Arabidopsis thaliana: one gene and its partner. The protein of the gene in region 1 interacts with the protein of each later gene in a pairwise test. Each region holds a gene or a part of one and is shown on either strand. Other genes may lie near its edges. The genes, in order: AT5G61820 and AAP5.

Evidence for each region.
Region 2: the proteins of AT5G61820 (region 1) and AAP5 interact in a two-hybrid assay, tested with the Arabidopsis thaliana proteins (one large-scale study listed by BioGRID).

Annotation. Positions count from the first base shown.
Region 1 is NC_003076.8:24,833,637-24,838,770, forward strand, and holds AT5G61820 (stress up-regulated Nod 19 protein), read right to left. Parts: upstream 3,298-5,134; 5' UTR 2,990-3,297; exon of another isoform or gene 2,797-2,989; intron 2,591-2,796; 5' UTR 2,588-2,590; coding exon 1,700-2,587; intron 1,617-1,699; coding exon 1,467-1,616; intron 1,374-1,466; coding exon 1,116-1,373; intron 1,001-1,115; coding exon 869-1,000; 3' UTR 664-868; downstream 1-663. Other genes in the region: APC1 (Mitochondrial substrate carrier family protein), read right to left, coding at 1-99; AT5G61830 (NAD(P)-binding Rossmann-fold superfamily protein), read left to right, coding at 3,699-3,790, 4,129-4,393, 4,485-4,679, 4,754-5,134.
Region 2 is NC_003070.9:16,763,608-16,769,353, reverse strand, and holds AAP5 (amino acid permease 5), read left to right. Parts: upstream 1-1,668; 5' UTR 1,669-2,130; coding exon 2,131-2,218; intron 2,219-2,634; coding exon 2,635-2,868; intron 2,869-2,915; exon of another isoform or gene 2,916-3,095; intron 3,096-3,169; coding exon 3,170-3,263; intron 3,264-3,504; coding exon 3,505-3,877; intron 3,878-4,049; coding exon 4,050-4,703; 3' UTR 4,704-4,962; downstream 4,963-5,746. UniProt on the Arabidopsis thaliana protein: Amino acid-proton symporter. Stereospecific transporter with a broad specificity for glutamate and both neutral and basic amino acids. Reduced affinities for asparagine and valine.

The DNA of each region.
Region 1 (5,134 bases):
TCTCTTCTCCTTGGTCTCTCGTAATGCCACCAACACGTGCTCCATTGTTGCTTCTACGGGCTTCTTACCCGGATTTTGCTTGGATTTCTCTGCCTCCATTGCTGGTTAACGATCAATCGAGAAACCCAGATGAGCAAAATTGGAAAGCTTTCAAGTTTCAACAGTTTTGGACGATTCTATGGTCCCTTCATTCTTGGAAGAAAAAAGAATTTCGGAAATAATCAAAATCAGAATTCAAAAATGAAATTTATTTGGACAAAACTTTTGTCTCTGAGATTTGAGGTCGGTGAGCAAAAAATATCTGCCTCAAATCTTCCATGGACAGCTGGAGTCTCCATTATTGTTCGTGGACCACTCAAAACTGTTTCCGACATATATGACACACAAAAAACACCAGTCAAATAAAACCGGTCTAGTTTGAGTGAATCACAGCAACGAGTCAGTTTTCACCGGTTTAGCTGCTTTGAACGAGAACAATATCTGGGTTGAACCAGAACAGTGACGGTAAAAGTTTTTTTTTATAACTAACTCTAGTAACTGAATATCAACTTTTGAATTTTTGATCATACAGATGATTTTAGACAGTGAAACATCACAAATTTGGATGTAGAGTAATTCATAAGTTATAGAGATTAAAAAAAATTGTAATTTTGCAAGTATTAAAGGGTTTGGAACCAAGACAACGAAAATAATGTTAGTTTATTGTGTGAATGTGATGTATTTGAGAAAGAAAAGTTCTTCTTACACGTAACTATTACAGAGATATCACATCAGAGGAAGATGACAACAAAATAATCTTTTATTCTATGTATACAAACAGAATTCACTTTGAAGACATATATAGAGTCGACATGGTTTTTGCTCTTTTTTAAGTACTAAGTGATTGGTAACCATCTTCCCGTTTCTGTCTCCGGTATATCACGGCGGCTATTAAAACCACAACAGCCACAACTACCGTCACTGCAAAAATGGCTAAAAAGCTCAAGCTTCTCGCAGGTGCCTACAAGGAAGTGAGAGATATTAACGTCAGTTAAATAATCACATGGCAATACACTGTATATGTATCGTAACCGGTTTGACCTTAACCGAGTTCTGGTACCGGGTGGAGTGATTACCTCAAAATGTTGTTTATTAGGCAAGGAGCTATCTGGTTCCGGCAGCTGCTGAGCAACGAGGATGTAAAAGAGTCCCATAACTCCGGTATGACCAACGGCATTACTGTAATTAGATTCCAAAGTCAATGTCTCTCCATAGCTCACTTTCACTGGATCAGCTGGATAACAAGACGACATTCCAACAATGTAACCAGCTTCGTTTCCAGGTTCATCTCCATTGCCATACTTCGGCATTGAAGCGCATATCCCTTCACCGTTCTGATCCACAACACAACAAGAGTCTCAATTCAATAACAAAGTTTCAATCTTTTCGTTTTGCAGTAGCCTAAACTAAATCAGTCTCTTAGTTACCTCTCGGTATAGAGCACCACCGATACCACCAGCGTGCTGGTGAGCTACCCCGTAGACAATATACCCATCAAATGGCATCACTAAGCTCTTTTTCTTAACGTCAACGCATCCATCGCCATTGGTTTTGCACGGTTTCACCTCGTATTCCACCTGAAAATCACAAAGACCCGGAAAATTATTAGAGAATGAAGTAGAAGTAACGGCATTAAGCAGATATGAAAGTTCTTACTGACATGGCAAATATGTTCTTGGCTATCTCCTTTTGATCTTTCCCAAGAATCTGTAACATCGAAAATATAAACCTTAGCGGGCAAAACCGAGCTGTCCCAATCAACCCATCTCACGGTATACTTCAAATACAGAGTTCTTGTTTTCTCCCCATTGTCAAATCCGCTTTTCACCCGACATTGAGTCTTATCATAGCAGCAGTATAAACCTCCTTTGTATCCAGGCCTTATAGCTCGACCATACTCATCAATGGTAACATTATACAGATCACACAAACATTCTATGCATCCTTTCTTATCTTCCACACCTCTGGTGTCTATCGCGTGAATGTTAAGAAGCCATTTGAATTCATAACCATCAGGTGTTTCCTCAGGATTACCGATTTCAATAGCGTAGGGATCAGGAACATACGTCGAGGTTTCGCGGGTTTCTGATCCTAAACCAAAGAAATGTCTGAGTGTTAAACTCCTGCACAACCCTCCATTTTTCACAAGAATAATATCTGACTTGGAATCAAGATTGCTTTCAGGATCTTCCCTGGAAAATCCATGATTCCTGAACATTTCTCTCTGTGGAAGCTTGGAACCTTTACGTACATAGTATGGCTCGACAATCCAATGGTGGAGATAGGTCTCGTGTAGAGGAACGGGTTTGCCCGCTTCGTCAACCACTTCAGCATCGAAAGCTTTGAGGCCGATATGACCTCTTGGGAAATCGATGTCGAATAAGTAAGGATTTGCAACTGATCCTGGATTCATCACAAGTTTTGGTGAGTAAAAGACAGCGGATTTGATCTTTTCCTCTGTCCCTAGGAAGCCTTGGCTCGGCGATATGCTTAATGAGAGCAGAACTAAGCACAAGATCATCGATCTCCTGTGGTAACGAGCCATCATCTCCTGTTTCATGATCATATATAAAAGGAAAGAGATTGATTCAGCTAATCAAATTCATAAACATGGATAAGATATCACAAACTCTAAACCTAGCTCAAACTATGAACAATAGAGGATAACCACTTGAAACCTAATTTTAATCAGAAGATTTTAGTACTTGTGCTGCTTATTCAAAATTCCTTTGCCCAAAAAAAAAAAGTTTGACTTACCTTTTGAAAGACGAACGTATCCACTATGGAACAATCTTTCGTAATCTCACTTTCTAGTTTGGTATTTAAAAAACCCAAAATTTGATTGTCAAATTAAATACAATAAGAGATTCCTAAACCCAGAATTCAATTGCGAAATCAAACAGAGACGATACAGAGAGAGCGAGAGAGCGAGAGAGAGAGAGTGATTTACGTGAGAACGAATCGGATAAACGGAAATTTCCAGAAGCCGGATGAGTTTCCCGCTATTGTGATGAGTAACAAAACAAATTCGGGAGTTGTCTATTTAATACTTATCAATAGCCCATGAACGCAGAGACGTATGGACGCGAGAATCGTTAGTACGTGACACGTGTAAACCAGTGACGTCACCGCTCTCGTCACAAACCCGCTAGTATTGTCCTCTTCTATTTTATCTCACACAATCATGTTAGGTTATCATAGTACCACTAAACATTTATGTGAGAATGGATGGATATTAGACAACCGACGACAAATAAAACAAACAAAAGTAGATAGACGACCATAAATTAAACTATAAACGAAGATTGAGGGAAAAAATCATTGGTTTAGATTTTCGAACAAATATCGTGAAAAGTTTTTCATCTTGTAGTTTTTGTAATTAATGGTGTATGAAAAATCATTGGTTTGTTTAGTTGAATTAAATTTCAGTAAACGGTTTAGAGTATGAACCCACTCAATAAAGATTTGACTGCCAAGCGTTACTGGTGTCTGGTGGATTGAATAGTTAAGAGTATAAGGTTTGGGCCATTATGTGGTTTTTATTAAAGTTGAAGGTCTCATTTATTAATTCCTTAGAGCTGATGGCTAATGTACAACGAATTTGATTCAGGAGTAAGATAAACGGTACACCCAAACACGCGACGCGAGCGAAGAAGACGATGACGAACAAGGAGAAAGCTCGAGAGAGAAGGGAGAAAAGAATGCAGGAGATCTCTCTCCTTCGAACTATTCCTTACTCTGACCACCATAGGTATGAAGAGACCTAATTTGTCCAATTGTTTCGGCTTCTTTGTATCCTAAGATCTATCATCATTTACTCTGCGAGATTCTCAATTTCACAGCATTCGATGTGTTAATCTCTAATTTCACTTGCTTAAATCCATTTCTTAGTGTCGCTTACAGTGTTTGATGAGTTTCTATTTTTCTCTATTTGGGAGTTGGAGACTGAATTGGTATTGTTGTTGGTACTTACAGATTTGTGTTTCACTAAACCAAAAGAATTTAGAGAAATTGAAAATGATGAAGTATGTGTCTCTCAAGCCCTCTTTTTGAATTTGACTTGTCATTAGGCGTCAAATGATTTTTTAGGTGGTGGTCTTGTGAAAATGTAGCAGTAGTGACTGGTTCAAACCGCGGGATTGGATTCGAGATTGCAAGACAGCTTGCGGTTCACGGATTGACGGTTGTTCTTACAGCTAGAAACGTGAATGCTGGTCTTGAAGCAGTTAAATCTTTGAGGCACCAAGAAGAAGGTCTCAAGGTTTATTTTCATCAACTTGATGTCACAGACTCTTCGTCGATTAGAGAGTTTGGTTGCTGGCTTAAGCAAACATTTGGAGGTTTAGATATTCTCGTAAGATCCTTATCGATTCGTAATCTTGGAGGATAGTTCTAATGTTTTCTTAGATTTGAATTACATGCATTTGTGTTGCTATGTTTTTCAGGTGAATAATGCAGGTGTTAACTACAATCTCGGCTCAGATAATACGGTTGAATTTGCTGAAACAGTTATATCTACTAACTACCAAGGAACCAAAAACATGACAAAAGCTATGATACCCTTGATGAGACCATCTCCTCATGGCGCTCGTGTAGTCAATGTTAGTTCTCGGCTAGGTAGAGTAAATGGAAGACGTAATGTAAGAAACTCTTTCACTCATATCTTTGATTTTTTTTGAAAAAAGAAAATCTCGTTGAAATTCATGAATTGCAGAGACTGGCAAATGTAGAGTTGAGAGATCAGCTAAGCAGTCCAGATTTGCTGACCGAGGAACTTATAGACAGAACTGTCTCTAAATTCATCAACCAAGTAAAAGACGGAACTTGGGAATCAGGCGGGTGGCCTCAGACATTCACTGACTACTCCATGTCTAAGCTTGCAGTCAATGCTTACACGAGACTAATGGCAAAAGAACTTGAGAGACGAGGAGAGGAAGAGAAGATTTATGTTAACAGCTTTTGCCCTGGTTGGGTGAAGACTGCGATGACTGGCTACGCCGGAAATATGCCACCTGAAGATGCAGCTGATACTGGAGTTTGGCTTAGCCTGGTCCTTTCCGAAGAGGCAGTAACCGGAAAATTCTTCGCAGAGAGA
Region 2 (5,746 bases), on another chromosome or scaffold:
TCTATCAATGTTATGTTGAAAAACTTCATCTAATTGAGGTGTATTTTGCATGTTCATACAAAAACTCCAAAAATAAAATTGAAAATAATCGAGAATATTTAACATTGTTATGTAACTTCAATTTGTGAGAATTTATCAACGAAAATAGAGTATATATAATATGACCAAACTCATAACAGGCAAACACCACTTTACATAGTTTCCACTTTCATTTCCTCAAACCAACCGAAAGTTTTTAGAAACATAGTAGATATAGACAAAGAAGTCCATGGTAAACGTTAATTATTTAAATAACTATTAAATAATAAATTAATAAAATATTTACTTTATCAATTTGTTTGTAATTATGGTTGAAAACTTGCCCATCAAAATTTTAAATATATTTTCTTTTTCAAAATAATATCTAATTGCCTATGATAAATGATTCTAAAATAGTAAAGTATACCACCAAATCGTTCATTTATACTCTTTAGAAATGATATAACGACAGTGTATTTTCCAACCGAATGGTCGGTGTTTCCAGTGTATTTGAAAGAATTTAAGAGCGAGAAAGAAAAATTTATTAGCATCTCTTTATTTTTAATTCCTCGGAATTGGTTCGTTTGAGTTTAATTAATTCCGGTTGACAAAAAAAAAACAAATGATATAAGGAATTTGAAAAGTTAAATCCTCCGTCAACTTTCTCTTGACATCAAAAGTACATATAACATAATAATCAATAATAATGAAAAAACAACTATATCTCTAATTATAATTACTTTAATTTACTCAAATACTCATTAAATTAAGGACATGAATCATTGTTTTTAAATTTTAAAATTAAAATATCTATATTTTAAAGGTAAAAATCTTAAAATTTGGTTTGATGTTTAGCTTTTATGGAATTTTTAAGAATTGAGATTAATCCTAGCAATTCTAGCAATGTTATGTTGAAAAACTTCATCTAATCGAGGTGTATTTTGCATGTTCATACAAAAACTCCACAAATAAAATGGAAAATAATCGAGAATATTTAACATTGTTTTGTAACTTCAATTTGTGAGAACCTATCAACCAAAAAAGAGTATATAATGTGACCAAACTCATAACATGCAAACACCACTATACATAGTTTCCACTTTCATTTCCTCAAAACCAACCGAAAGTTTTTAGAAATATACTAGATATAGACGAAAGAAGTCCATGGTAAACGTTAATTATTTAAATAACAAATTAATAAAATATATACTTTATCAATTTGTTTATAATTATGGTTGAACACATGCCCATGTTAAATATATTTTGTTTTTTTTGAGTAATGCCTATGATAAATGATTCTAAAATATTAATATAAGTATACCACCAAATCGTTCATTTACAAATGATATAACGAATTTCAAAAGTTAAATCTTCCTTCAACTTTCTCTTGACATCAAAAGTACATATAACATAATAATCAATAATAATAAAAACTACTATATCTCTAATTATATATTTTCTTAAATTACTTTGATTTACTCAAATACTCTTAAATTATAAGGACATGAATCATTGTTTCTAAAATTTAAAATTAAAATATCTATATTTTAAAGGTAAAAATCTTAAAATTTAGTTTGATTGTTTAGCTTATATGTAATTTATAAGATTTGACATTTTGCACTTGTTGTCACTAATGTATAACAATGAAACCATTTTCTCATAAAAAGATAAACTATTTTTGTAGTCCTCACAAAAAAAAAAAAAAAAGCACATGCGGTTTCCTCTGCTTCTTCCTTCTTACAAGTTGGATGTCTCCGTCTTCCACGGTGCTTATAAATTAGTGAAACAACAAAAGCTTTGGTCAGTATTTATATTATCATGCATTTCTAATCTCTACTTTGTCAATTCCTATACTTTCACTCTCTTCCAATTATATAATCTCTGGTCCATAGAAAACATCGGTCTCTTGTCACCGTTGATTTTATTTGGTCAAAATCATTCTTCTTCTCGCTGAATAATCGTTGATTTCACTTCTTCTTCTGGTCTTAAAAAAATTCAAGATCTATACGAGAAAACACAAAACAAGTAAAACTTTTTCAACCGTTTTTCCTGTCGGTAAAGTTTGGATTCTTCTTAGTAAATTTTGGTCTTATTGTCGACCAAAAGAAGAAGATGGTCGTTCAGAATGTTCAAGATTTGGATGTTCTTCCGAAACATAGCTCGGATTCATTCGATGATGATGGTCGTCCCAAGCGAACCGGTAATTTCTCTTTTTTTCTCTAATTTTATGTTTTATGTTTCTCTAATCTGTTCAAACAAGAATCAAAGTAAATATAAAATTAGTCTCTGTTTCCTATAACCGGGGATTTGAACCCGAAACCCGGAATTTTTTTAATTCCGGGTTTCGGGATACAAACCGAAACCCGGAGTCTGTTGAACTTGCAATTTAAAACATCTACAGTAAATATATGCATAGGCTTTGTTTGTTAAGGGGTGACAAATTCCTACTTCTTTTTTTGTGTGGATGTTATGGAAAAGTATGATTTTTGTTACTAAAGTGTATGAACACTATTGTTACTACAGTTGTTGTCTTAAAATTAACGGTTAAACAAAACAGACTTTATTGTTACTACAGTTCTTGTCTTAAAATTCTGTTTGAATGTGATTGGTGTTTAGGGACGGTGTGGACAGCAAGTGCACACATAATAACAGCAGTAATTGGGTCAGGAGTGTTGTCATTGGCATGGGCCGTTGCTCAGATTGGTTGGATTGGTGGTCCAGTGGCTATGTTACTCTTTTCTTTCGTTACTTTTTACACATCTACCCTTCTCTGTTCTTGTTACCGATCTGGTGACTCTGTTACCGGCAAAAGAAACTACACTTACATGGACGCTATTCACTCCAACCTCGGTAAACAAAAAAAAAATCATTTCGGTTTCTTTTTGGTGCATATATTGGGATATTGAACCGAAGATCGACGGTTGAGATGACAAGGCCAAGATATAACAAAAAGATATTATTCTAGAAGATAAATGTTAATATTGAAGTTTAGAAAGTTTAACATTTATCTTTTAGAATAATATTTTCTTGCCGTATCTTGGCCTTGTCATTTCAACCGTTGATCTCTGTCGATCTCTGGTTCTCCATATCGGTTCCATATCCCAATAGTTATTATCATCAAAAACTTAATTCATTCTTGATTCATTTTTAGGTGGGATTAAGGTGAAAGTATGTGGAGTTGTGCAATATGTTAATCTATTTGGTACAGCAATTGGATATACAATTGCATCAGCTATAAGTTTGGTGTAAGTTAAAACTTTGCTTTCACAAAACTCTTTTTATTTTAATTGTTCACATTTGTCCAAAAAAAGTTAGATGCGTGTTTTATTTTGCTATTCAATATTGTCCATACAAGTCATTAATGTTTGGCTCAATAATGCAGTGTTTTAGTCAATGTAGTCTTGTTTTGTGCCATTAAAGATTCGAAAGAACGGCTCTATTATTGTTTGACTTGTTAACTAATTTTCTTGAATAAAAAATTTACAGAGCAATCCAAAGGACAAGTTGCCAACAGATGAATGGACCAAATGATCCTTGTCATGTTAATGGAAATGTTTACATGATTGCGTTTGGTATTGTACAAATCATATTCTCTCAGATTCCTGATTTTGATCAGTTATGGTGGCTTTCCATTGTCGCTGCGGTCATGTCTTTTGCTTATTCTGCCATTGGACTTGGCCTTGGTGTCTCTAAAGTGGTAGAGAACAAAGAAATTAAAGGTAGTCTCACTGGAGTCACTGTTGGGACAGTGACACTGAGTGGGACAGTGACATCGTCGCAGAAAATATGGAGAACATTTCAGTCTCTTGGCAACATTGCGTTTGCGTACTCTTACTCGATGATTCTCATCGAAATTCAGGTATTTTTGTTACGCGAGTTTTTTTTTTTTTGAAAATAATGTTAAGTTAGATTCAAAAGAAAAATAACGTTGTTACAACTAGTGCATCGTTTGGTTTATTTGTTAAGCGAGTTTGTGTGATAAGAGTTTGTTTAAAGGATGTTTTAATCAACTAGACGATTTGATGATCCAGGACACGGTGAAATCACCGCCTGCCGAAGTAAACACGATGAGAAAAGCGACTTTTGTAAGTGTGGCAGTGACTACAGTCTTCTACATGCTATGTGGCTGTGTAGGGTATGCAGCATTTGGGGATAACGCACCCGGAAATCTCCTCGCTCATGGAGGGTTTAGAAACCCATATTGGTTGCTTGACATTGCTAATCTCGCTATAGTGATCCATCTAGTCGGTGCTTACCAAGTCTATTGCCAACCCCTCTTTGCCTTCGTCGAGAAGGAAGCCTCTAGGAGGTTTCCAGAGAGCGAATTCGTCACAAAAGAGATCAAGATCCAACTCTTCCCGGGGAAGCCCTTTAACTTGAATCTCTTCAGGCTCGTATGGAGGACGTTCTTCGTGATGACAACAACGTTGATCTCAATGTTAATGCCTTTCTTTAACGATGTAGTCGGTCTCTTGGGGGCCATTGGTTTTTGGCCTTTAACGGTTTATTTCCCAGTGGAAATGTACATTGCACAGAAGAATGTTCCGAGATGGGGCACAAAGTGGGTTTGTCTACAAGTCTTGAGTGTGACATGTCTTTTTGTGTCCGTAGCCGCGGCCGCGGGATCTGTTATTGGCATTGTTAGTGATCTCAAGGTCTACAAACCTTTCCAGTCTGAATTCTGAGATCATACGGGAAAAATAAACTCCTGCTAAAAGGGTTAAGATTAGAATTGAATGTTTTAATGTCATATTTGTATTAGTTAACTTTGTGTAAGTGTTCAATTATAAATCATGTTTCTACCGAGAATTCTTACAACATTGAACTATCAATGATTAAAAGTAGTCATGTATAAGGATAGCTTTTTCGACACTTGAGGTAGTAGAGATGTATTAAACATTTAATACTTATAATTAATTTTAGAAGTCTATAAACCAAAGGAGCTACAAGATGTTTTGTGTTTATCTCCAAAATTCTTCAAATTCTTAAATCGTTTATCTTCTTGTAAACACTCTCCAAAACTAAAGATCCCCTAGATAAAATTGAGCTAACAATGCCTAATGAAGCCATACAAATAAGATAATCAATGTTTACCTTGACAAAACAATAATTAAAATTTAACAAAAGCAAATCGAGAATAATGATATGACACTGAAAATATTCTGATCTTTCTTTTACAAAGCAATCGATGAATTCTCAGTTAGTTACACAATAAATAACATTAGTTACATTCAAAAGCTATACAATCAAATGAGTGAAAGTACTTAAGAATAATATCACATGCTTGGTGTCTTTTTGATACCTCAACTCTTTTGTTTTATATATACTCAAGAACTTTAATAATATAAAAAATAACTCAACCAATGATGATATAGTTTTAATTTCCTAAACTACAAGTGCAAAGCAATCAAAGTAGTATTAGGGTCGATCGGTAAAGAATTTAGAGTAACGCACACCAATGTCACATTTTGTTTTTACAAGACAAACATGTCTTTTTAGTTTGAAATACCTAAGCTAACTAGATCATACACATTGTCTTCAACAGAATGAACTATGTGATATAACTCCATTTCAAAAATTCTTTGGTTTTATGGTATTGATGACGCTCTCATGGGTCCATAAATAATAAGAATCTCAAACATATTTTTGTAGATTAGTTGAGACCTTATGAAGCTACTAAAATATTTTTGAGATTTATAAAAATAAAAATATTAATGTAAAATGTATT